6 linked regions of the Coturnix japonica genome follow. The protein of the gene in region 1 interacts with the protein of each later gene in a pairwise test. Links are inferred from orthologs where the notes say so. Each region holds a gene or a part of one and is shown in the gene's direction. Other genes may lie near its edges. The genes, in order: CEP44, AQP1, CBY2, RNF8, ABI3 and POP5.

Evidence for each region.
Region 2: the proteins of CEP44 (region 1) and AQP1 interact in binary tests that used the Homo sapiens proteins (3 or more experiments, as listed by UniProt). The link is inferred for Coturnix japonica from reciprocal best matches to the Homo sapiens genes CEP44 and AQP1.
Region 3: the proteins of CEP44 (region 1) and CBY2 interact in binary tests that used the Homo sapiens proteins (3 or more experiments, as listed by UniProt). The two-hybrid records come from large-scale screens. The link is inferred for Coturnix japonica from reciprocal best matches to the Homo sapiens genes CEP44 and CBY2.
Region 4: the proteins of CEP44 (region 1) and RNF8 interact in binary tests that used the Homo sapiens proteins (3 or more experiments, as listed by UniProt). The two-hybrid records come from large-scale screens. The link is inferred for Coturnix japonica from reciprocal best matches to the Homo sapiens genes CEP44 and RNF8.
Region 5: the proteins of CEP44 (region 1) and ABI3 interact in binary tests that used the Homo sapiens proteins (3 or more experiments, as listed by UniProt). The two-hybrid records come from large-scale screens. The link is inferred for Coturnix japonica from reciprocal best matches to the Homo sapiens genes CEP44 and ABI3.
Region 6: the proteins of CEP44 (region 1) and POP5 interact in binary tests that used the Homo sapiens proteins (3 or more experiments, as listed by UniProt). The two-hybrid records come from large-scale screens. The link is inferred for Coturnix japonica from reciprocal best matches to the Homo sapiens genes CEP44 and POP5.

The regions. Positions count from the first base shown.
Region 1 is NC_029519.1:38,907,365-38,911,645, forward strand, and holds the start of CEP44 (centrosomal protein of 44 kDa), read left to right. Parts: upstream 1-1,481; 5' UTR 1,482-1,596; intron 1,597-1,728; exon of another isoform or gene 1,729-2,215; intron 2,216-3,374; 5' UTR 3,375-3,421; coding exon 3,422-3,510; intron 3,511-4,096; coding exon 4,097-4,244; intron 4,245-4,281. UniProt on the Homo sapiens protein: Centriole-enriched microtubule-binding protein involved in centriole biogenesis. In collaboration with CEP295 and POC1B, is required for the centriole-to-centrosome conversion by ensuring the formation of bona fide centriole wall.
Region 2 is NC_029517.1:953,034-957,056, forward strand, and holds the start of AQP1 (aquaporin-1), read left to right. Parts: upstream 1-1,223; 5' UTR 1,224-1,301; coding exon 1,302-1,688; intron 1,689-4,023. UniProt on the Homo sapiens protein: Forms a water channel that facilitates the transport of water across cell membranes, playing a crucial role in water homeostasis in various tissues.
Region 3 is NC_029516.1:150,251,945-150,255,888, forward strand, and holds CBY2 (spermatid-associated protein), read left to right. Parts: upstream 1-1,144; 5' UTR 1,145-1,244; intron 1,245-2,689; 5' UTR 2,690-2,695; coding exon 2,696-3,673; 3' UTR 3,674-3,772; downstream 3,773-3,944.
Region 4 is NC_029518.1:27,120,547-27,124,046, reverse strand, and holds part of RNF8 (E3 ubiquitin-protein ligase RNF8), read left to right. Parts: intron 1-175; coding exon 176-916; intron 917-1,883; coding exon 1,884-1,946; intron 1,947-2,674; coding exon 2,675-2,764; intron 2,765-3,500. UniProt on the Homo sapiens protein: E3 ubiquitin-protein ligase that plays a key role in DNA damage signaling via 2 distinct roles: by mediating the 'Lys-63'-linked ubiquitination of histones H2A and H2AX and promoting the recruitment of DNA repair proteins at double-strand breaks (DSBs) sites, and by catalyzing 'Lys-48'-linked ubiquitination to remove target proteins from DNA damage sites.
Region 5 is NC_029542.1:3,004,010-3,008,032, reverse strand, and holds the start of ABI3 (ABI gene family member 3), read left to right. Parts: upstream 1-1,223; 5' UTR 1,224-1,372; coding exon 1,373-1,483; intron 1,484-2,394; coding exon 2,395-2,562; intron 2,563-2,976; coding exon 2,977-3,153; intron 3,154-3,729; coding exon 3,730-3,812; intron 3,813-3,953; coding exon 3,954-4,023. UniProt on the Homo sapiens protein: May inhibit tumor metastasis. In vitro, reduces cell motility.
Region 6 is NC_029530.1:8,204,929-8,209,099, forward strand, and holds the start of POP5 (ribonuclease P/MRP protein subunit POP5), read left to right. Parts: upstream 1-1,371; 5' UTR 1,372-1,465; coding exon 1,466-1,485; intron 1,486-1,555; coding exon 1,556-1,698; intron 1,699-1,766; coding exon 1,767-1,916; intron 1,917-2,035; coding exon 2,036-2,119; intron 2,120-2,504; coding exon 2,505-2,641; 3' UTR 2,642-4,171. UniProt on the Homo sapiens protein: Component of ribonuclease P, a protein complex that generates mature tRNA molecules by cleaving their 5'-ends. Also a component of the MRP ribonuclease complex, which cleaves pre-rRNA sequences.

The DNA.
Region 1 (4,281 bases):
TGCAGGCCACACTTGTAAACGGGTCCTAGTTGCATAGGATGAAGTTTTTCTAGCCCTAAATCAAATATCCAAATTTTATTTGCTAGCTTAATGTTTTTATTGCAATACCCAGCTAGTAGTTCCTGTTTACAAGCTGCATTCTGTTGAGCAATACCGAGCTGACAAGAATACCAGTGTTTGTTGCTGGTGCTCACAGGGTTCATCTTGCCACAGAATGCTAATTGTGACACGTCATTTACAGCCCAATCGCTTTTAGATTACTTAACAGCATGGTTCCAAGACAAAACAGAAACAACCAACAAAACAGTGCTATGGTATCCACGAATCCTAGAAAGACTTCTTGAAATTAAAAAAAAAATGATTAAAAATACATATTTCTATTTTAAGCACCAGCTGAATAAGTTTTGGGGATGACAAAAAGACTCAACTCAAGCTGACTGCTGGGAACACACTGCATGGCTACTCAGCAGCAGACGACCTGCACACAGCAGGGAGCTGAATCTAGATGATCATTGTGGTCCTTTTCAACCCAGGCCATTCTATGACTGTATGGCTCTAAGAGTAACGGCGAGTAATAATAATAATAATTTTGTAATACTGTGATATTGTAACATTGTGAACATCCATCTTCAGGCCCCAGAGTCAGGAAGCCACTGAAATGTATGTTTCCAAACTTGTGATTAATGTAATTTCAGCTAGTACCCACAACCTTCTGATGGCTTGGCTGTCACAACTCTGACAGGAAAAAGTGACACTAAGCTTATTTATGGACGGCTGATCTTCCCTGGCACCACCTGCCTTGTGGCTATTTACCAGCCAGACTTAACCTTTCAGAGATCCCGAGAACCAGGTTTGCTTTGTGTTACCGTGTTCCAGAGTAAATCTTTTTTGCAGTAGAGCCCATGATAGAAGACTACAAGGTAAATGTCATGTCATCTGTTAGGACAAAGATGTAGTAGCCCTGGTAGCTCTGTAAGCAGCAAAGCACACACACAGGCTCCACGAGAGGCCTTTGCATTGCACCGAGCCCTACAGCCGCGTCTGAGTCCATCCCCGTATCTTAAGCTTCCTTCCCCACAGCCCCATACACCCGAGTCAGACCCGGAGCCGGACAGCGCCGAGGGAGCCGGTGACCCCAGCCCCTCGCAACACCACCGCGGTGGTACCGCCCCCGAGTCCCAGTGGCCCACGACAGCCAGCCTCGGCCTCTGATTAGCCGAGCCGCCCGTCCATCATCCCGCAGCCGCCTGCCCGTGGACGGAGCCCGGCTGCGGGAGCCCTTCCGCGGTTCGTACCTGTACGAGTTCGGGTCCAACCGCCGCCGCGACGAGCTCGCTGCGGGTCGGTGCGTGAGCCTCGCCGGGCAGAGAGAGGGGCTAAGCGGCCCTAGCGGTGGGGGGAGGCGGTGAGGCCCCTCCGGCATGCACGGAGCCGCCGCAGCCGCGCCTCCTGCTAGGCAGGTTTGACGTTCGCTGTTGTTGCTGGAAGTGGCGTCACCGCGGAGGGACGCGCTGGAAGCGGAAGCGGCCGTTGTGCCGCGGGGCGGCAGATTCGGGCTCCGCAGGCGGGAGGCTCCGGCCACGGGAAGCGACGCAGGTGAGTGCCGGGCCCTTCGAGCAGGGTTGGGACAGCAGGGCTGCTCGGGTGTTGGAGGGGAGCCCTGGCCTCGGGGCGGGCGGGGGGCAGCAGGACGCAGCCTGTCGGCACCTCGGACTCCAGCCCGTGCCCGCCGCTGGGAGAGGATGGCAAAGTTGTGTATCCTGGGAGCATTATCTCCACGTGCATTTTACTAGGCAATACTTCTTTGCTGCTTGGACTAATGGGCTTCTCAGTGTTTGTTTGTTGGCATGGAAAGGAATTCTACGAAGATGATAATCAAAGAGCACCTGGTCTTGTTGAACTTCTTCCTGCTGTTTTCAGACAGTGATCCAGCCTGTCCAGATCCCTCTGTAGGGTCTTCCTGCCCCAACGCAGATCGATGCTTCTGGCCAACTCTGCAAACTTACCGAGGGTGTGCTCAGTGCTCTCATCCTAATCAGCAGTAAAGATATTAGATGGGACAGGTCCCAGGCCCTGGGGACCTCAAGACTGAATGCCAGCTGGATTTAACTCCATTCTCAACTTCTTTTTGGGCCCAAGCCTCTAGCAAGTCCATAACCCAGCAAAGACTACAATTTCCAATTATGGCAGTTATTCAGAAGCCGATCTCAAGGATGTGAGAAATTCTCTGAAGAAACATTATTTTCATAACTTCATTTCTCATATTCATATTTTCATATATTCATAACTTCATAAGTTCATATGGAACTTTTCATATCTTCTGAATATTGTGTATTAACATGCTTTTGTTGGTGTTTATGTTGATTCCCCTCCCTCCCCCCCCCCCCCCCCCACTCCTTTCTTCTCAAACATTTGCTAATAGACTTTCTTGAACTGTAGTGGTCTGTTCAGAAGGCTAAGATGTAGGCTTTGTTTTCAGATGTGATTTGAAAGCTTGGCTGTTATCCAGTCTATGCTTTTAAAGTTTTGCATTGGAGAAGAACTAATATTGTTTGCTTATAAACATGTGCTCACAAGATACAGCAAACAGTGCTTGTGGACTGTCTGTGAAGATAATGATGTTCAATTGACTTTTTTTTTTTACTCAGTCTTCTCCTCCACTTGAGAATTTATTAATCAATTTGGCCAGAATGTATCACTAAATGTACAAGTTTCCTTTACCACTTTTTGCCTTTGACAAAGCTGATTTGGATAATGTTATCATGCATTATTGATTTTCTTCTGTTATCTTTTTTTTTTTTTTTCTTTCTTTCTTTTTTACAAGATAACTCTGCAGAGAGAGGGGCACCATTTTGTAGTTTATACTATGTCATTAAGTGAGTCTCCTGTGAATGATAAACTAAAAAGCAGGGACTTGTGTGTTATGATGTAGAGGTTAAAACTGGACCTTCTGACTATAGTGCCAATAAACTTAGACCTACCTTGAAGTACCTAGGCTGCCGAGTTTGTTGCACCACTTCTGCCTGAACAACTTTAGGCTGATTTAGTGGATAGTTTAATGGAGAAGGGTGTTCTCCTTTGAGATAATAAAGAAGCTCATTCCATTTTGTTTGATTAAGCATCCCTAAATTCTTCATATGCATTCAGATCTCTGTCTTTGAAGGTCTTTGATAGTGGATGGGATTAGGTGTTTCTACTCAGTCCTGATGTGGGTGATATGAGGGAAATAATGGATATTAATTAGTACTGAACCTTAGCTCTATGCTGTTTTGTAACATCAGAAATATTAGCCTCTAGAAAAGAGAAATTTCAGAGATAATGATGTATATTGTAATTTTAATGTGTTCTTTTTTACTTATTTTTTTCTTGAGCAGACAAAATTACAATTGCCACATAATCTGAGAGAGCAGTGTTTGGAAGAATGACAACAGGAGACCTAAAAGGAAGTTTAAGAAAAATAGAACAAGGACTTCGCATGATAAATTATCCAAGAGATGTGGATTATACAGTGTAAGAAATAGTGTCAATAAATTTCTGCTAATACATGATGACAGCAAGATGTGTAAGCAAGATACTGGCTTTGCATCCAGTGATAAGTAAGCAGCGAGGTTACGTCTGTGTGAAGTTGGAGTTTGATACATGTGGTATGAAAGATGAAATAATTCAGTTTTGCTAGTCTGAGCAATTTTTTTCCCCTTGATTAATCTCTTTGTTTCTTTCTAAGTGCTCACAACACTTTCTTCAGGAAATTTCATCATGTAAAGATGGAGCAAGGTATTTAACATTGAACTTTTGGGCTTTAGACCTGACCATGTTGGGATCATATGGGAAGTCACAAAAAGCATTGTTTCAGGCATTTTATGGATAGCAGTAAACGAGATATGCATGGAAAGGTACTTGCAATCAAGTGAACCAGAGAAAAAACTTGAAAATGAAGGCAAAACACTATAATTGAGGTGTAAAGGGCTTGCCATATTGAGGAGATATAATCTGAGTGTAACATGTATGCTATATTAACCTTCCAAGTTAAATGTTTGCAGTTGTGCATGGTCTTTTATTCTCTTCTGCTATGTAAAGTACTTTTCTTTCTTAACAGGCTAGTGAAGGGCGATCCAGCTGCGTTTTTACCCATAATTAGCTATTCTTTTACATCCTTCTCAACTTACATAGCAGAACTTCTGGTGAAATGTGATGTGGAACTTACAGCAAAGAGTGACTTGCGCTTTATTGAAGCTATTTATAAGGTATCTGTCTTCACGTTCTTTTTTGTGTTTGACCTTG
Region 2 (4,023 bases), on another chromosome or scaffold:
TCAAATTAATTTAAATGCAGTTTAGGAAGCAGCGGTGCTTCAAGGGAAGAAGAAGAAAAAGGAGGAGGCAAAGCAGTGGGATGATTTTAAGTGCTCTTCTTTCAAGACTTGTGTCTGGGGACTTTGTTTCTGCCTCTGGATCGAATGCTGAGCAGCTGTAAGTCCGAGGAAGCCCCCTGGCTTACAGAATATGCTATCAGCAGCCTCTCAGCCCGCAGCATTCTGAGAGCACAAGGGTTAATCCGAGGCATGCACACACGTCCTGCCGCAATAAAGCCCGGAGCGATGAGACCTTTTGCTGCCGAGGATATTCTGGCTTTGTCTGTTGATTCATTTTGTCTGCAAAATCAAGCATGTAATGCCCCTTCTCCCTCTCGCTCCCCTTACGTCCCCGTTTCAGTCTCCCCCGTGACAGCTGATGTTCCTCTGCACTTTTACTGTAGGACGTGGGCTGGGGAGTCCCTGAGCGGCTGCTTTGAGCTGATCAAGAAACCCTGAGATTAGGTAAATTAAATAATTAAATATTAATAGAAATGAATCTATCCCTCAGCACACAGGAATCACGGCCGTGGAAAGCTTCCCCTTGCTGTGGTGTCCGGTTCTATTTACACCGCGGTCACGGAGGTGGGGAGCGATCCCTGCCTCAGTCAGCTCAGATCAGTGCATGTTGCTCTGTGTCTGTCCGTCCGCGATCAGGGTGGCATCCAAAATGTACTCGGTCCCCAGGAAACCAGCAGGAGAGACTTGTCTGTTTTCAAATGAAACAGGGATCTTTCCATCTCTGGAGCGTGGATTTAGTTATCAGCTCTGTTTACTACTGCTCATTGTCCCCCAGCTGCCACAGAGCTGTGTGCCGTAATTCAGCTCAGTGCTTCTCCTTTCAGCCCTCTGTCAGGCAGAGACCCCGCGACAGCCCTTGCTCCGACCCGAAGGATGAGGGATGTTAAATAGAGTGAGGGTAACATTCCCGGGGCTCTCCCAAGGGCTCTTCCGAGGGCTTGAAAAAGCCTCTTAAAAACAGCAGCAGAGATCGAAGGCAGTTAAGAGAGAGGGAGAAAAAAAAAGGAAGAAAAAACTTTGGCAAGCGTGCAGTGTCTTACATCAATCTAACAGTCAGCATCGATGTAGATGTTCTTTCCTCCTTTTGTGCAACACCCCTTCCCTCCTACAGACCACCCAAAGCCCTATAAATAATCCAAGGACCGTATTTTCTCTCCAGCTTTCTCTTCAGACCTCGAAGGGAAAATACCAGGCAGGGGAAAGGAACAGAAGAGAGAGAGGAGGGCAGAGAGAGAGGAGAGATGGCCAGTGAATTCAAAAAGAAAATGTTCTGGAGGGCAGTGGTGGCCGAGTTCCTTGCCATGATCCTCTTTATTTTTATCAGCATTGGCTCGGCCCTGGGTTTTAATTTCCCAGTGTCAGTCAACGGGACATCAGCAACTCAGGACAACGTGAAGGTTTCGCTGGCTTTTGGGTTATCCATCGCGACCATGGCGCAGAGCGTGGGCCATATCAGTGGTGCCCACCTGAACCCGGCGGTGACCCTGGGCCTCCTGCTGAGCTGCCAGATCAGCATCTTCAAGGCACTGATGTACATCCTCGCTCAGTGCCTGGGGGCAGTGGTGGCCACTGCTATCCTGTCCGGAGTCACCTCCTCTCTGCCTTACAACTCCCTGGGGCTCAATGCGGTAAGCTGAAACTTTGCTTTCCCCCCTTGACTCTTTTTCCCAGACTAGAAAGGTGAGGGCAACACCTGTAAGGATGTGTGTGATGTTGGTGGTAACCTCAGGCAGAGAGCTTGTCCTGACTGATGCCAGGATGCGTGCATTCACTGCTATCAGCTGAAGCACTATTTTAATCCTTTTCTTTGGTAAGAGATGCTGTAGGGATGGTCCTTCTGTTCTTTTTCAGAGCTTTATGGTCATTATCAGTTTTGCTCGTGTTCAGTTTTGCATATCCATGCTGCAGAAAAGTGACTTTTGGTACCAATGTAACATTGAAATCACTGATATTTGCATGGCTGAGTCTCTTTCCTGGTTCTGAAGGTCTCAGGTAACATGTCTTTGGCTTGTGATGCTGGTTAATGTGTATAAACTGGTGTTTTCACTTCTGTGAATGTGGCTCTTTTTCAATACCTCATTAATAGTTTGTGTAACCTGATAAGTGCAGTGTAAGAACCTACAGGACCAGTGAGAGATGGGTAGCAGGAGAAACGCTGTCACCAAAGGTGTGAGCATCATCTGTTGCATTTGGCACAGTGCTCTCATCCTGCCTGATGCAGAATCTTAGCTGCACTTTTCTTCTTTTTCCTACTCTTGCTGTGCAAAAATGGGGGGAAATATGAATTTCTCAGGTGTGGGTCAGAGGATGAGGTGAAGAATCTGCATTTTTGAGAGGTGCAGGTTTCAGCCCTCTCCCATCCAGGTGCTCACAGCTATTGTCCATTACAGCATACAAACAGCTGCCTGGTGGCAACCCCTCCTCTTTCACACGTTATTCTTTCTTGCTGTTGCCACTGGACTATAATGGGGCAAAAAGGACAGTCACCCTTTTCAACATGAAATCATCCCAGTATCAGCGCATGTCAGCAAGGCAGTATGCAGAGGAGTACTATAAATGGAAATTCCTTTCTGGTCACTTATCTCACCTGATTCTATTAAGAATGCTTATTTCATAGCTTTTCTATGCCCCCCTTCTTGCAGAATAGTTGATACAGTTTGAAACTTGGATGTATTTGAAATCTTAAGCCCACTGGGGCACAAAGGTCCAAGCACAATATCACTTCAGAAATCATTTTGGAGAAAAAAATAAATAAATAGAAAAAGACAAAGAAAAAAGTTTTAAGCATTTTGTGGCACGAGGAAGAGGAGCTTCTGAAAATACAGAAGCTGACATTAAGGAGGTCAGCGCCACCCATTTGTGCTGCTCTTTGTGTTGGCTGCTCACCTCCCTGCAGGGGTCTCACCCTGCCACCCATCTGGGAACTCCTGTGGGATCATCCAAAACATTTTTGGGGGAAGAAGAGGGAATCTTTTCATTAACTCCAGCGGGCTCTGGCTGCGTGTGTGAGACGTGATCCTTTCCTCTGAAACCACTGGCAGAGGGAAGTGCTCAACCGCATGGGACAGGGCACCCGCCCCGGTGGTTTCCTCGAGAGGTCTGGCTGCCAGCTGCCATGGAACGCGGGAGGTCTGCTTTCAGCAGCATTCCCATTTGGTCTTTGCCTTTTGCTTGCCACAGAGCACTAGTGGCTGGCTCCTTCCCTTGCCCTGAAGCTCCTGAAACTGGTTGTTTGCAAAGTGGGTGTAGGGGACCACCTCAAAAGCTTGCTCCGCTGTTGGTAATTCTTCAAGTTACAAAGATTTAAGTCAGATCTCTGCACAAGGGCATCCAAATAGAGAGAAGTCAGAGATGGAAAAATCACGCAGTGAATCTCAAAAACTGCATTCAAGAGTGCAAGCCCTGCCCCTCCCTCTGGAATACATTCAGTGCACCTTTTTTAATACCATAAAATCAGTGGTAGGAGAATGTATACTCTAAGTCTCCTCCATGCTTATTTTACAAATCTGGCAACACTTTTTGCATGTGGATTGGTGGATGAAATCATTCCCAAATGCTGTGAAAAGCCCTGGTCTTGTTATTGTCAAACACTCAGAGTTTTGATCTTTTATATTCTATTTCCCATCCAGCAATAAATGTTCTGGATAGAAGAGAGCGGGGGGAGGACATCTCAGGAGATAGGGAGAGCAGCAGCTGTTCTTTTCTCCTGTAAGAAGGAATTGGTGAGGAAAGCAAATCCATTCTTTTCCCACTCAGCTGGGACCAGCTGGGGAGGGGAGATGAGGGACTGAGGGGGCAATGGGTCTGAGCCCAGCATGGGGACAACAGAACAGCTGTCCTCACACAAAGCTGATCCCCACAGGGCACATCCTGAAGTCACATTGCACTGCCTCCTTCAGCAAACAGAGCATAAGGGGATGCCGCAGAGACTTGCTTTTATGTCATGCTTGCTTTTCAAGCTGA
Region 3 (3,944 bases), on another chromosome or scaffold:
CAGGCTTTGCCTGCTGATAAATCCACGGTGCCCTTGTCTCTGTTAGCTCAGTTTTCTGTCGGCTCTTAGAACTTAAAACTTTCATTTAAGGTCTGTGCCAGTGGTCCACACACTCAGGTATTCAGAAGTTCAGCTGCCTCCCCTGAGAGCTGTAGCAGCTGGACAGCACCCTGGCACTGCCATCTGACTGAAGGCCAACTACTTCTTAGGGGGATATTTTCCAGTTTCTCTTTGTAGGACCCCAGAACTTGAACAGAGGAGAATGAACCCCGGGGAGTTGTCATGGGAACTTCTGATTTACTTATTTATTGTGTTGTCTGAGATGAAATAGAAACAAGGAAAAAAATACAGAAGAGAATTGTATGCCTAAGTTTATTATCTTTGCAGAACACTGAAGCCAAACTATACCTTTAACTTCCTAAAGCAATAACAGTCACTTTGGGATTGATGTCAAGTTGGTAATTTTCACTGGAATAGACATTAATTGCTGTATTTATTATTCAAAAACCCTGATGACAGGAAAAAAGATGAAGAAATAATCCACATCTAAAAGATTAAGCAAATAAGAGAGAGAATGAGATTATTAGAAACATAAAGACATGGAAGCAGGAATAGCTGCTATAAATAATATCTAAACTTGTAATGCATGAATGCCCTGCATGTTCTGTTTTCTTCTTAATGGGGTTCAGTGATGATCTACTCTTTAACTTATAGTTACAGAAAAACTCATATCCATGTTGTCCTTTAAAAATAACTTCAGCTGTCATAGCGCATACACAGAAGGAAGTGGTTTTTGAACTTATCAGCATTGGTTCAGCCAGAGAATTAATGTGTTAGATTCAGAATAAAAGCAAAATTTCTTTTAGGAGAGCGTGATGGAGGGAGAATCCATCTAAACTGCTCTCAGTTATGTGCATCAGAGAGGGAAGCCTGGGTTCAAGAAAGGACGTGAGAGCTAGGCTACTGGAAAGGTCGTTTCCATGAGAAATGACCCAAATGTGCAATGCTGGGAAAAATAAAACAAAATGGGCTGTGAGGGGGGAGAGGGGGGAGCTCCTGGACTTGTGGAGAAGGGGCTGGCTCTGGGCGTGGTGATCGCATCACAGTGGGTTCCATTGTCCCATCTCATCACCATGCCCCCCCCATACAGAACTTGGAGCAGAACTTCAGGCTAAAAAGCCAAGCGGAGACCTGGCAGCTGTGCAGGGCAGTGAAGAGGGTAGAGTATCATCTCCAACAAGCAGGTGAGTACATGCTGGTATGTAATTTGGTACTGCCAAAACACCTATATATGCTTGATTTCATGCGGTCTCCCCCAACCCTGCTCCTCCAACCCATCTCCCCATCCTGTGGAAGGAATTTTTAGTTTGGGAATATGAATAAGGAAGGTGGGAAAATTTCTCTGAAGCCTGGGTTGACCTCTCCCCTGCAATACACAGGAGCTGATAGAGGTGCTGTCAAGTTTAATTGACCCCAGGACAACATCCTTCAATGCTGTATACATTATATACTGCTGTTTATCCTCAAAACTTGCCATATAAACACTTTAAACATAAGTGGCTTTAAATGCCTGCGCATGAAACACAGTGAAGGGTGGGTCTTGGCTTGTGATGCTGGCTGTTTTCTCATCAGGGTTTAGGGATCAGTTCCCCCTGTGATTCAGCTTCCCATCATGGGGATAATGACAGGGACATCAGCACCCTCTGAGGGAAAAGGACAGGTCTGTGTGAGGCAGGGAGCAACAAATTGCTCGCTGTGCTCTGAACACAATGTAAGGGGGAAAAATAAACGCGGAAATTGGCAAGCAGTTGCAAACAGTGGGAAATCCCTTTTAGCAGAGGAATGACATTATGCAAACACAAGTCTGATGTGAGATATACCAGATGGCAATGCGGAAGGCAGCTCTGAAAGTTAAGCAGAGACCTTATATCAATAAAATCAAGTGTTACGGCAAACAGACCCATATTGCAATTATTCCTTCAAGAAGAGATTTGGGGCTTTGAACAGTAGCAATATGTCTTTGAGCTTTCAAGCAAGTTTGGGAAGGCAAAGAAGGAGGTAGCTGTGGGTGGTGGGTCTCAGAAGTAACTTGGAGGAGCCCAGGGAGGCAGCAGCTGGTGAAGGTTGTGGGGCAAAACAGGACAAAGGGTTCAGTGTCCTGGCAGAGCTGGGCCATGGCTTTGACCCCCTGCCAAGTGCTTGGGACAGATACAGAGGCAAAATGACTGCCCACCAGTCATATGGCAGCACTGGATGCCATATAGGACAGGAGGGTGACTGGAAGGCTTTGGGGCAAGAAGGATAAAAACTGGCAGTCAGCCTACCATTTTTTTTTTATCAGAAAAAAACCCAACAGTTTTATGCTGTGGTAAAAAGAAACAAATACTTTTGTTTTAAAAAGCAGTTCAATCTCAATCTCATTTCATATGACTTTCTGCATTTTATTTATCTTCCATGACTGTAAAACTGATGCAAGGGGATGAAAAGAGAGTCCAGGTTTTTGTATCAAACTTTGTGGTGCCACCAAGGCTTTGCCTTCTCCACTAGTGCCTGTTTTCTCCTGTTCTTGCAGTCCTAATCAAGCTTCATCTCCAGCTTCTGTGTCATCTAGTCCTTGCCAGTGGGCAGTGGCCTCCTGCAGTGGCCTCCTGCAGAAGTCTTTTCACAATCTTTCTCTGTTTGCCAACAGATAACCATGTCTGCTTTTGACCTGACAAACCAGAGCACACGGGGTACAAGGCCCGAGATGGACTGTGTCTTCCCACGGATGAAACTGAGGGATGAGACATTTACATTTATTGATGGTAAATGGGTGAATGAGGTGCACTGCCAGCCAACATTTGCATCCCAGAGGAGACTCCTTAACAAGAAGACAGAGAACGAGTGGAGCATCTGGGAGGAGAACAGAGCCCTCTGGGAGGAAAACCAAGTCCTCCGTATCGAAAACAGGATGCTCTGGGAAGAAAATAAGGCTCTGCAATATCTCCAGACACAGAACAAAGGTGTCCAGCTTGTTTACAGTGACATCATCCAGCAAAGCCTCCAGAAAGATAAGCTGTCCTCGTTCTTCCCAGAGAGGCATTTAGGTTTTCAGGTCAGTCCAAGCAACAAGGCTCTCCAGCTGGTCAGAGAAAGAAGCAGCTTCTTAGAGTTTTTCCATAAGCAGAATAGAACAGTTCCCAGCATTTGGAAAGATCAACCAACCTTCATAGTCCAAGAAGAGAACAAAGGCGCCAGCTCAGTTCAGAAGGTCACTGAATGTACCACAGCTGCGGGAGAAGGTAGCCCTGGCACATCCTCCCAGGAGGAGCATGATGCCAAAGAGGAGAGCACCACGCCAACCCAGAATGACACCAAGATTGCACCAACCGCAGAGGATGATAATGAAATCCTTCAGGCTCTCCATGACTTATACCAGATTCTCCAGGTGTTCCTCAAGGAGAAATGTCTTGCTGATGACAGAGACAGCCTTCACGCTCTCCAAGATGAGAAAAAATTCTTCCAGGAAGAGTACAAGAAATTGAAGCTGCAGCTGAATAACGTGAAAAACACTGTGTCAGACATTACAACTCAACTGGAAATGCTGGAGAAAGAGCTCATCGCCATCACTTTCCCAATATATGAAGAAGAAGGGAAGAACATGGCAAACGAGTTTCAACTTGGAGAGATTTGAAGCCTGGTGCTAAACCTGCTAGTTCTGTTTCCTGGAAAGTGCCTCTCTTTGTTTCCAGGAACTTAATAAAATACAAGCAGAGCATGAACTAAAATTAAAGCTGGAGAGTATTGTGTTATTCTGAAACTTTCTTATATTACCTGGGCAGATTTCAACTTTTGGTAGCGTGGTGCCTGGAAAGCATGCTTTTCAGCCTTTTGGGGGGGATTTTCTGCTAATGGAGAGCCTGCATATTCAAAAAAGAGTTCATTCTTTTCACTCTTAATTTGAG
Region 4 (3,500 bases), on another chromosome or scaffold:
TTGATTTAATAAATGGGACACTGAACCATTAAGTTGGAAATTGCAAGGTTTATTTAAAGAGGTGGCTTGTTCTGACTGCAATACTGCAGAGACTGGATATGTTTACAGTTGCCAGAAATAACTTGCAGATGACTTTGTAACTGTATATTGAACCTTGCTGATTCTTTGTATTCAGAGTCTAAATGGAGTTTGGCTTAATAAACAGCGCCTGGATCCTTCAAGAACCTATCCTATAGCAGAAGGAGACCGTATCCAGTTGGGAGTGCCTTTGGAAAACAGAGAGACTGCTGAATTTGAGTATGAAGTAATTAAAGAGGAGTGGGAGAAAATCAAACCCTTTTTAGCCCAAAGGAGTGACCTGGGGAAAGCTAGGACCTCAAGACCTAAACGTAAATTTACTTTGGAAGAATCGGAGACATGTGGATCAGAAGGCCCTTCAAATTCCAGATCCAAAAGGGACAGAGTGTCGTGTGATGGAGAACCTTTGAGTAATACATTGGGAAGAGTAGGAGAGGCAGAACAGTTGACAGACAAGGGGGTTGTCAGGCTGCCCTCTCCTGGATCAAGTGAGGACGATGGTGGTCCAGTGCGTGGTAGCCTTGATTGCTCTGAGAAAGCTGTGGCTGTTGCTCACAAGGACCAGAAACACTCCGCTCTTTCTCAGTCATGGACTGGCCTGGAAAAGCTGAGGAAAAATCTCACAGATATAAAGAAATTAAAAGTCAAAGTGCAGGAGAAACAGACAGCAGTTCTGAATGCGAAGCAGAAGCGCAGGAAGGCTGCTCAGAAGACGATCCTAGCAATGGAAAAGGAACTGCAAGAGTTGCAGGACAAACTGTGCACAGAACAAGTACAGCATCAGCAGCAGGTGGAAGAGCTGGAGAGGACATTCTCCAAAGAGAAGCAGAAGCTAGAGGTATGATGGTGGTAATCATTTCAGTCTGTGTGTTTTGAGATATATATTTTTTTCCAATTACGAAACTAAAACTCTGACCCTCTGTGGGTTACAAAGAGGACACGTTAAAAAGCGTTCACGTTAAATGGGATTTTTTTCTTAGTATACAGCTTTTCTGAATTAATGCTAAATTCACGTGGGGAATTTATTTCCTTTTCAAGCAAGTGCATCATTTTTTGCCTGTCTTAATTCAGAGTCTGAGGAAGGAGGGGTTTTTGTTGTTGATTTTTTTGTTTTGTCTTTATTAGGAGAAAAACAGTCTCTTCTTGCTACCCGCAAGTGCCTTCTAGCACTGTGTGGATGCTGATAACTTGTTTTAGATAGGAAGCTACAAGTCTATCTTTCTGTTTGACTCTACTTGAAATCTGGTTCAAGGGAAGTAAGGATTCGTCTGAGAGTTACTTACCTGATTTATCAGTTACTTCCTTTAAAGTCTGCTGCTGAAAGCAGAATACTGTATCAGAAGTACAGGAGGTTTGGAGTTGTGTGCTTAGGATAAAGGGAAGTTCACCTGAAGCTGTAACTCTGTCTGGCCTATTTAAATGTGTTCAGAGAGAGAGCTTCAACTTTTTCTCATGTGTAAGCTATTGCCAGCTTCCTGGCTTCTGTGAACATTGCAGTGTCTTCAGAGCTAGAGTAACATGGAGTTGTTCCAAGTATGGAACTGTAAGTGATACATTCATTTTAGCACTTCACAGTAAATGGGAGCTGTAATTTCAGTAGTACACTTGAATCTCTACAGTAGGCCTTTTCAGTTTCTGCTGAAAATCAGTTTTGTTGCTTTAATTATATCCTCTAAATGTGCAAAATGGTTCTTTTCATTCCCGTGGTATCTTCAAGTATTTTTTTTTCTTCCTCCAATAATTGCTTTACTGCAAGAATGTCTAGTTTTGGTGTTTGATTTTTTTTTTTTTATTTTTTTTTTCAGGGAGTAAAAGGGCAGGATGGGGAAGAGAATCTGAAGGAGCAGCTGGTCCAGGTTCTGCAAGAGGCAAGTAATTAAATCTACTTGGTCTAAATATGGAACTCATATACTTAAATCTTACTGCTTCCACTCTTGGTGGAAGACTAGGACTGTGTCTAAAGTGCATTTTGAGTGGTCTTTATCTTCTACAGACTAAATTATTGCTAGGAAGAGACAGGCCTCCCTTCTTGAGAGTTGTTATTTATCAGCAGATAACACAAGAATCTGTGCTTTTAGAAAGTGTTAAGTAGTGTAGTGGTTCTACTTGAATCCGGTCCACATACTGGTGGATATTTTTGCTAGGTCTGTCCTCTGGTTATCTGTTTTGGGAAAGCTGCCTTGGTAGTTTTAAACCACAGGAAAAAGGACTAGTTTTGGTTAGGAATGTTTCTGAAAGAGATTGTCAAATGCTTAGTTTTCCTAGGCTTTCTGTCTAAAAGGTTTTAAGGCTAATCCAAAAAGAGATTCAACCAGCCCTTCTGACAGGCTTTTGTGACACTTGTGTGTCAGATACTCCTTGATACTCAAATGTAACAGATGCACTCAAGACAGTGACCAGAAAAGCAAAATGAAATGTAAAGTAAGTTGTAGGTGTTGGGTGAACTTCCTTAACACCTTGGCTTATATAGAGCTGGTGCTCTTACAGGAGAAGAAAGGAGAAATGAGTGTGCTGAACCTCATGATTAGATCCATGTGTATTTAATAGGGTAGCTTATAATAACACTCTTATTTTTGGTATCATGGTATCATTACAGCATCATGCTTTGATGGAAGAACTGAGCCGTAGTAAAAAAGATTTTGAGGAGATAATTCGAGCCAAGAATAAAGAACTGGAGGAAACCAAAGTAAGTAATAAAACTAAGTTCTCCGTAATTGGAATATGATATGCTGTGGCAGAATAAATGATTTAACATTTGCTTTGGCTGTGTGCTGCCTTCTGTGTTGAAAAGCTCTTGTATTTTGGTCTGGCGGCTGATTCACTCTGTATAAGATATACTCTTTGCTCTGTTTGTGGAGTAGTATTGCAGAGTTATTACCAGATACAGAAAGCACAGGACATCTGAATAATGTTGTGCAGGAGAAGCTGACCCATTCTTTTCTTTAAAAGAAAACCAAACAAGGGTATTGGAAAAGTGGGTGCTTCATTTTCAGTTTGCGTGGACTGGAGTGAAACTGCAGCATGTTCCAGCAGTCCAACAAGGGAGCACGGGACTGAGACAACGTAACATTTTAATAACGAATGAGATAAGCCATGTTTCTTCCTGCCTCTGTCAAGATGATGAGTGGAAGATAATTAAAGTGATCTTGTGCTGTGTTCTACACTTGGAAATTATGATGTTTCATTCCTCTGGCTATTTGCTTTGTTTTCTTCTGTCAGCTTTGCAACTGTTGCTTTAAGGATAGTTCTTAGAAGATGTAGCAGATGCCGGAAGCCTAATTTAACCCTAAACAACAAAATATGAAGATTGATCCAGTTTGTAGATTCTTTAGATTGAAGGGGACTTTAACAGTGGCTGTTCTTTCTTGTAAGCACTCTGTTATGGACAGGAATATTCTCAGTACTGCTGTAACTACAAAATG
Region 5 (4,023 bases), on another chromosome or scaffold:
CAGCTGTGCTATCAGCTCATGGGGGTGATGGTAACACCTGCAATTCCTTTGTGCCTGGAGGAAGCAAAGCCACTTACCTGTATGGATGAGGGGCTGCCCCTCTCACTGCTGGAGATGTTCAGAAACCCATCGAGCTGCCGTCCTCTGTGTCTGCACTGTTCTGTTTGAAGACTCCTTTGGATCTCCCAGCCTGTAGCAAGGAGCAGATGTCTTTGGTCCCTAAGCTGATAATAGACTCAGAAGAATAAGCTGGTCAGGTGTTGGGCATTAGCCTCAAAGCTTGGGGTAATCAGTGGTGGGGCCATAGGGGAGGGTGAGGGAGGAAGGGCAAGGGTGGAGATGAGCTTTGTGGGGCACTCAGCAGCCCCTGAGCTCACACTGTGTGTTTTTGAGCCTATGTAGGCCTGGGGCCTGGCTGGGGGAGCAAAGGGAGCATCCCTTTCTCCTATGGGATGGAATGGGGGGGGCAGGAGGCAGCTGGGGTGGCTCTTGGCCATTAAGGGGGTGAGAAGCAGAGCTGGTTCATCATTTCCCTCATCCTCACCTTAATTGCTGTGGGCAATTATGGACATTTGGCTCTTGCTTTGCCCATGTGAAGCCCTAAAGCTGAGGACAGAACTCAGGAGGCCCCAAGGAAGCATAAGGAGGAGGAGGTAGAGGGGGATTCCCAGCATGAGGGACCCTCCCAGTGCTGGGAAGTGAGAGTTTCCTGCCCTTGGCTGTGGCCTCTTGCACTGTCCTGTGCGGATGGGAAAAACCATTAGCAAAGCACAAGGAGGGACGTGTTGTCCCAGCAAACAGAGCTAAGCAGAAACTGATGGCTGCACCCAGCCTGAGCTGGGTGAGGTGCAGGCACGGGGCTGTCTGGAGAAGATGAGCTGGCAATGGAAGCATCACTCTGGAGCTAGATCTCCTCCTGCCAGTCCCATAAAGGCAAGGGGAAGGGAATTGCCCTTGCTGGGTGCAACAGAGCCAGGCCTGGCCCCCTGCCCCCCAGGCTCCATCAGAGGATGGAGGTGCAAGCTCCAAATTACCAAATTTGGGCTGTCAGGAGCCAAACTGCAGCACTGACCTGGAAATGGTGCCCTACCCATGGCCATGCTGCCTTCAGCCTCATGAAGAAGCCATACTCCCTTGATGGGGCTGGTTGAATTAGAGGGGGTGAGTATGGATGTGTAGAGCAGTTGTAGGCGGCCTTGCAGCACTCCAACAGCTTTCAGGTTCTACCTGCAGCCTCCAAACCTCCACCAAGGGAAGCTGGGAGAGGTGACAACCCACGGAGCATCAGCAAAGCAATACGTCAGCATCACCGCGAGCTTCAAAACTCGGCGCCTTAAAGACTGGGGAGGAAGTGGGCTCCGGTCCCAGCGCTATGGCGGAGCCGCTGCAGCCCTGCGATGTCCCCGCAGCACGGCAGGGACTGCGTGATAACCACAACAACCTGCAGCGTGTGGCTGAGTATTGCGAGAGCAACTACCTGCAGGTGGGGTGTAGGGATGTGTGTGGGGCTGGGATGGGTTGGGGGGTCTGTGGTGGTGATGGGGAGGATGGTGTGGGGGTGAAGGCTTTGCTGTTCCCATTCATTTCCTGCCCAGCATTGAGAGCTTCTCTCGTGCCTCAGTTTCCCCTCTGCTCAGCCATCAGGGTTATGTGTGGGACATTGTGGGGGGGGTCTTCTGGGGTTTTTTGGTGCTGGAGGGGAGCAGGGATGGCAGCTCAGGGTCTGGGAGGTGCTGACAGTGCTCACTCCTTCCCAGCATAGGGTGGGCAATGGGCTCTGTGCTGTCCTACTCCCCCCTGTCCCTGTGACCTGCTGAGGGGATGGCAAAGGGTTGGTTTGGCCCCATTGGCTGGGAACAGTGCCCTGACCGGGGGTCTCTTGGGTGCTTTAAGGATCCCACCTTGGTAGCCTCATTCCCCCATGGCAGACCCAAGGGAGTGGTGATGGTTGTTCCCTCACCCCATCTGGGGCTGTGAATCTGCACTCTGTCCCATGGCCGGGCATTGCTGCTGCCTCAGTTAAGCATCATCCAGGGCTGGGTTGTTTTCTCATGCTGAAGCTTCTGGTCGGTTCACAGCCCCCCAGCTGCATCTCTGAAGGGGAAGCATGCAAAACAGCTCAGAGAACTGAGACTGCTTCCCCAGCTGCTGGCAGCGGGACTGGAACAGTCCCAACAGCACAGACCCTCCTGATCCCCTCTGTGCTTCTCCCACTGCACCCTGATGGTGCTGAGCATCGCTGAGTCCCACTGCCTGAGCTGGAGGAACTGTGATGCATTTGGAAAGCAGAAGGAAGCCCCTTTGCTCCCTTGTGACCCTGGTTTGGGTATGACGGCGGCGGCACTTTGTGCTCTCAGCCATCCCAGCTCATCACAGCTGTGTTTCACCCTCCAGGCAAGCGACAAGAGGAAGGCTCTGGAGGAGACGATGGCTTTCAGCACACAGTCCTTGGCCAGTGTGGCTTATCAGGTCAGCAGCCTGGCCACCACCTTCCTGCAGCTGCTGGACCTGCAGGCAGCCGAGCTGCAAAAGCTGGAGGCCAATGTCAGCTGTGTAGCCCAGGTGGGTCTGACCTCAGCCACTGCCATGGGTCTGTACTGCTGTGGGGTTTCAGCCCTGAGAAAGGAGCAGCTTACAGGGACTGGAGACCAACTTTTCTTGTGGTTTTAATGGCCTGTCAGCCCCTGCAGCACCTTGGTCACCCAAGAAGCTAAAGGACAAGACTACCGAGGGGTGGGAAACTGTTCTTAAGGGCTTGTCTTAGTCTGGGTGTTTGGGGACCATGGCAGCCTCTGGGGAAGCCCCCAAGGAGCTACCCTGCAGCAGTCACATAGGCTCAGATGCTGTTATCTCCCCTCGGTGGACACTGGCCTCGTCCCCTTGGAGAACTAGGGACAATGACTCAGAGCCCTGCAGCCACTCACTTTCTTCCTGATATTTGAGGGCTCCTTAGAGCCTTTCCTGCTGCCTCCACAGAGCGTTGACATGCACAAGGAGAAAGTATCTCGTCGGGAGATCGGCGCTTTGACCGTCAGTAAGAGGTTCCCATCCCACCAGAAGATCACATCCCCCCCCAACCCACCCTCCCTAGAGCCCTACTACAGGAAACCCCTCAACTTCAGCATCCTGGATGACATCGGTCACGGCATAAAGGTCAGCCTGGAGGGTGTCCCGTGGGTAGATGGGGGTTTAGATGGGCTTTATGTGATCTGGTGGGGGTACAAACCCCTCCTGGATGGAGAAAGGGGGTCTGTCTATGCTTCCTCCAGGACTTGTCCCAGTGGGGCTCATCTTGGTGCAGGAGGGGAATGGGACACTGACAATGCCATAAAGGCACACAGTCCCAGAGTTGCTTGGCTAAGGCTGAGTTGCATTACACCCACAGTGCTGTTCCAGCACTGAAACTGCCCCTGTAAGCTGCCCCCTCACCGGAAGGCGTCTGTGGGTTTTCAGCAGCATCAGAGCCACGTGCACAGTGTGAAACCGCTGTGGAGTCGAAGGGGAAGTGACAGTGCTGGGGCTGCAGTTCCCACGGTGGCAATGCCAGACAGCAGCACCAATATCTGCTTCTATCAGCACCAATATCTACTTCTATTAGCTGGGGCAGCCCCTCACCACCCCCCATCCTTTTGAGAAGGGTTCAGCAAAGGCCTTTGGGGCACTATAAGGGCATGGTAGGCATGGAGTGCAATGAACTTGTCATGTGTATGTGTTTTCTTCTGCCTGCAGGATCACAGCACTCAGCTGTCCAGGACAGGCACACTGTCTCGGAAAGGGATGAAGATAACCACACAGTCTGCAGGCACCATGGGGTGAGGCTTCTGGGATGGTGTAGAGTAGGGAATCTTTAGCTTGGGTGTCACTGAGCAGGGACAGAGCCATGGGGTGCACTGCCCAATGCAGCTGCCCTCTGTGTCCTGTCAGCATGGGCTCAGTGCCTGCTCTGTTGGCAGGAGGAGCACTCGTGTCCCTGAGCCCATCCAGCCCCCCGTGGTTCCCGAGGGAAAGCTCTCTGCAGCTTCA
Region 6 (4,171 bases), on another chromosome or scaffold:
TCCTGGCAGGTCTCTGCAGCCACTCTTCAACTGGAATTGCAGAAATCTTCTGGATTTTTCCCTCTCCAGCCCTATTTTTGGAGGCTGTTCTTTCCCACCTTGACCACGTAACTCAGCGTCACTTATGATTTGCTTCTTGAATCACTGGCACAAATCAATACAGCAAAGGTCGCAGAGGATGCAGCGAGGAGGAAAGGAAACAAAGGTGGAGGTGCTGGAATCTTTTACTCCTGCGCTGTCAGCTCAGCACACCGTGAATCCCGAGCAAACCTGCACGGCTTGTGCAAACACGAGCTGTGTGTGCAGGGAGCGGTGCTGGCTCAGGGCTGCTCTGTGCATTACCCAAACCAACAGCAGGGAACTAAGGGCTGTACCCTGAGCGGAATGAAGCAGGACAGCGCTGTCCCAGCACCGTGTCTCTCCTCATCAGCTCCTTGGACCGCAAACGGCGGCTCTGCAAGGCGCAGAGTGCACGCACAGCGCACACGTCCCATCGCATTACAGGGCGCACTGCACTCACGCGGGCTGCTCGCAGCTGCGCCTCTGCAGCAGCACAGAGCGGGGGAGGGAAGGAACGGCAGCAACACAACGGGCTGGAGGGGAACGGCACCGCACAGACAGCACGGCACGGAGTGAGCACACAGCACTGCCAACAGCCCGGGGACACAGCGGGACAGCACGGAGACGGGGGGAAAGAGAGACAGCAGCGCCACGCGGCTGCATTGGAACGGGGCACGGAGCACGGAGCACAGGGCACGGAGCACAGGGCACGGAGCAGAGCAGAGCACAGGGCACAGGGCACAGGGCACAGGGCACAGGACACAGGGCACAGGGCACGGAGCACAGAGCAGAGCACAGAGCACAGGGCACGGAGCACGGCCCGGTGTCAGAGCACAGGGCACAGGGCACAGAGCACAGGGCACGGAGCACGGCCCGGTGTCGGAGCACGGAGCCGCAGCGCAGCCCGGCTGTGCCCGCAGCCCATCGTACACGTACAGGCCGCCCAAGGCCCGGCCTCGCCGTGCGCTGTTGTCCCCACTGAGGTTCTCGTTGCCACCTGCCTGAAGTGCGGCCACAGGTGACGGAGCGGAGACGGGACGGAGCGGGAGCAGCAGAACCGGCGGTTGCTGCTCATCGCGGACGGGCATCGCGCCGCCGTTTGCGCCGTGTCCTCAATGGAGCCCACGCTCAGTTCGTTCCGCCCGATCCGCCCCGTGCTCACACGCGGCCCAGCCGCCGCTCGACGCCTCCACCCGCCACGAGCGGCCCCGCGCGGCGGATGTGGGCAGCGCGGGACGGAGCGCGCATGCGCAAAGAAAAGGAAGGCAAAGAGGAAGAGCGGAGCCGCGCGTGCTGAGCGGGACGGGAAGTCCCGCCTCCTTCCCCGCCCCATTGGCCGCGCTGAGCGCAGGCCGCTCGCTCATTGGCTGGGAGCAGCATCCCCGCGGAAGGGCCGGTTGGCGGCATGGTGCGCTTCAAGAACAGGTGAGTTGTGAGGCTGCTCCTCGCGGTGAGGCGGCTCCGTCCCGTTACCGGCATCGCCCGCCGCCCGCAGGTACGTGCTGTGCGAGCTGCTCTCCGACGACCCGCGCTGCCGCCGCTGCATCGAGGATCGCGCTGTGGGACTGGCCGTCAGGGACGCCATCGTTAGGGCGCACGGCGACTACGGGCTGGGCTGCTGCTGCGTGTCGTTCACAGGTAGCGGGGCGGGGCGCGGGGTGGGGCGGGGCGGGATGCGGGCGGTAACGGGCGCGGTGTGTCCGCAGTGAAATACCTGAACGCCTACACCGGCACCGTGCTGCTGCGCTGCAGGAAGCCATGCCGGCCGCTGCTCTGCGCCGCGCTGCCGCTCGTGCGACACCTGGAGAGCCGCGGGCAGCGCTTCCACTGCGCGCTGCGCACCCTGCACGTGGGAGGTGAGGGCGGAACCGGGACCGAACCGGGACCGAACCGGCACCTGCACTAATGGAGGCGGTGCCCGATGCGCTCGTTGGGTGCGGGTGGTTCCGAGGGCTGTTACGTGCCGCTCCTGCAGGGACCATCAGAACCTGCCAGAAGTTTCTGATCCAATACAACAGGCGGCAGCTGCACCTGCTGCTGCGGAACTGCGCCAATGAAGGTGAGTTGTGCCGGCCGGCTCCGCTCATAGGGCTGCAGCACAATGACTGTGTGTGCTTTGCACAGGGCACAGTGACTGTGTGTGCTTTGCACAGGGCACAGTGACTGTGTGTGCTTTGCACAGGGCACAGTGACTGCGTGTGCTTTGCACAGGGCACAGTGACTGTGTGTGCTTTGCAAGCCACAATAACTGTGGTTGCTTTTGCACAGGCACAGTGACTGCGTGTGCTTTGCACAAGGGCACACGCTGGATGTGTGCTCGCTTGCACAGGCACAGTGACGTGTGGTGCTTTGCAGCAGGGCACAGTGGACTGTGGTGCTTTGACAGGGCACACCTGAGCTGTGTGCTTTGCACAGGGCACACTGACTGTGTGTGCTTTGCACAGGGCACAATGACTGTGTGTGCTTTGCAGAGGAGAGGCGCAGGGTGCAGCAGGCCGTGATGAGCTGCTCCATCACAGAGGAGCAGGCACAGAGTGGGGATGAGGAGGAGGAGGAGGAGGATGGCACAGAGACGGACTGAGCAGCACCTGCTCACCTTTGTTCTGCATCGACCATCTTACTGTGTTCAGTAAAGCAAGTAAAGGTGCTTTTCATGTCCCTGCATGGACTTCATTTCTCTCTTCCAAATGTTCTTAAATAAAATGCATTCAAATAAACCACAAAAGATTACACTGCAGTAGGTTTTTCGCCTCTTTTATTCCAGGATTCAAACCTTTGACTGCTCCTAAGGAGCAGAGAAGCTCAATGTGATCTTCATGCTGAGGTAGAACTGAGCTTTAGGCAGTTGTATGGGAAAGAAATGGAGTTATGCTCCTTCAGTACAGAGAGCAGGAACTTCAGTTTTTGACCTTATTTTCCAGGGCACCTGTTCTTCATGGGGCTGTCTGGTGCTTCAGGTCACAAAAGCACCGATTGTCTACATGGGAGCATAGATTACAGCAAACACAACATGGAACTACATGGCTCAGCTCCATCCAACCCCTTTTAAAACTCATAGGTACAATTACTGCTTAGGTATTTATTAAGGTTACACCAATCAGTTACAGGAAGGTAGCACTGCTGCTCACAGCTCTTGAATCCATGGGAAAACAAGACGCAACTTGAAGGTCTGCCCTTTGGAGACCACTCAAGTAGATACTCCTGTTCCATAGCTTAAAATGACACAAGTAGAAAACAATCGCACTGTGAACGCAGTTAACTGCATACTTCAATTTATTTCATGACTTTTTTCTGTGCCCTCACCAGTTTTCCTGTGTGCATTCGAAGCATTAACAACAAGCTGTGCACCACTCCTGGGCGCTCTGGTTCTTTGTATTCCCTTGGCAAGCTCTGCTCTCCCTCAAGTGTAGTTAGTTGTGACCAAGTGTGAAATTAAGCTGCTTTCAAAGAATGTTTTGCAAGTGTTTCCTCTGTTCTCCTATCACAACAGAAACGTTCCTGACCTCCCCAGTCTCCCCCCCTTTCTGTCTCCCAGCTGCAGACTGGTTTATGCTCTTTGGTACTTGGGTGCCTTCAGGAAGCACCTGTAGAAGGAGCCTCTTGTTTTGACATGAAGCACCGATATGCTGACAGCCTTTTTAGGGAGGGATAAAAGCAATGAGTGTATCAGTGTGAGGATGGCTAACAACAGGAGTCTCAACTCCACGACTTCCTTGCTCAAACTGGTCACAGTGCAGAAGGGAGGGGGGGCATGGATTGCTTCTTAATGGAAGCATAAGCTTTTCAAACACCATGTGAATGCACTTCTTGGTACAGGTGGGGCTGAATGTAACAGAAGATACCTGTCACTCTTGCCCTATGTTACATGGTACTTCATACCAGCTTCCTGAAGGGAACCCATAGCATGAGTAGGATGCTAAATTTGCACGTGTTACCAAAAGTGGCATGATACTGTGGTGGTACAAACATTATAGCTCAAAAAAGTCTGCAGTATTGTAAGTGTGCGCATGTGATTTATTGCAACTGGTGGCCTTGACTGGTACATTACACCTACAGTTCATTTTATTTAACAAAATCCACACCACTTAACTCATTAGCTTCAAATCAAACC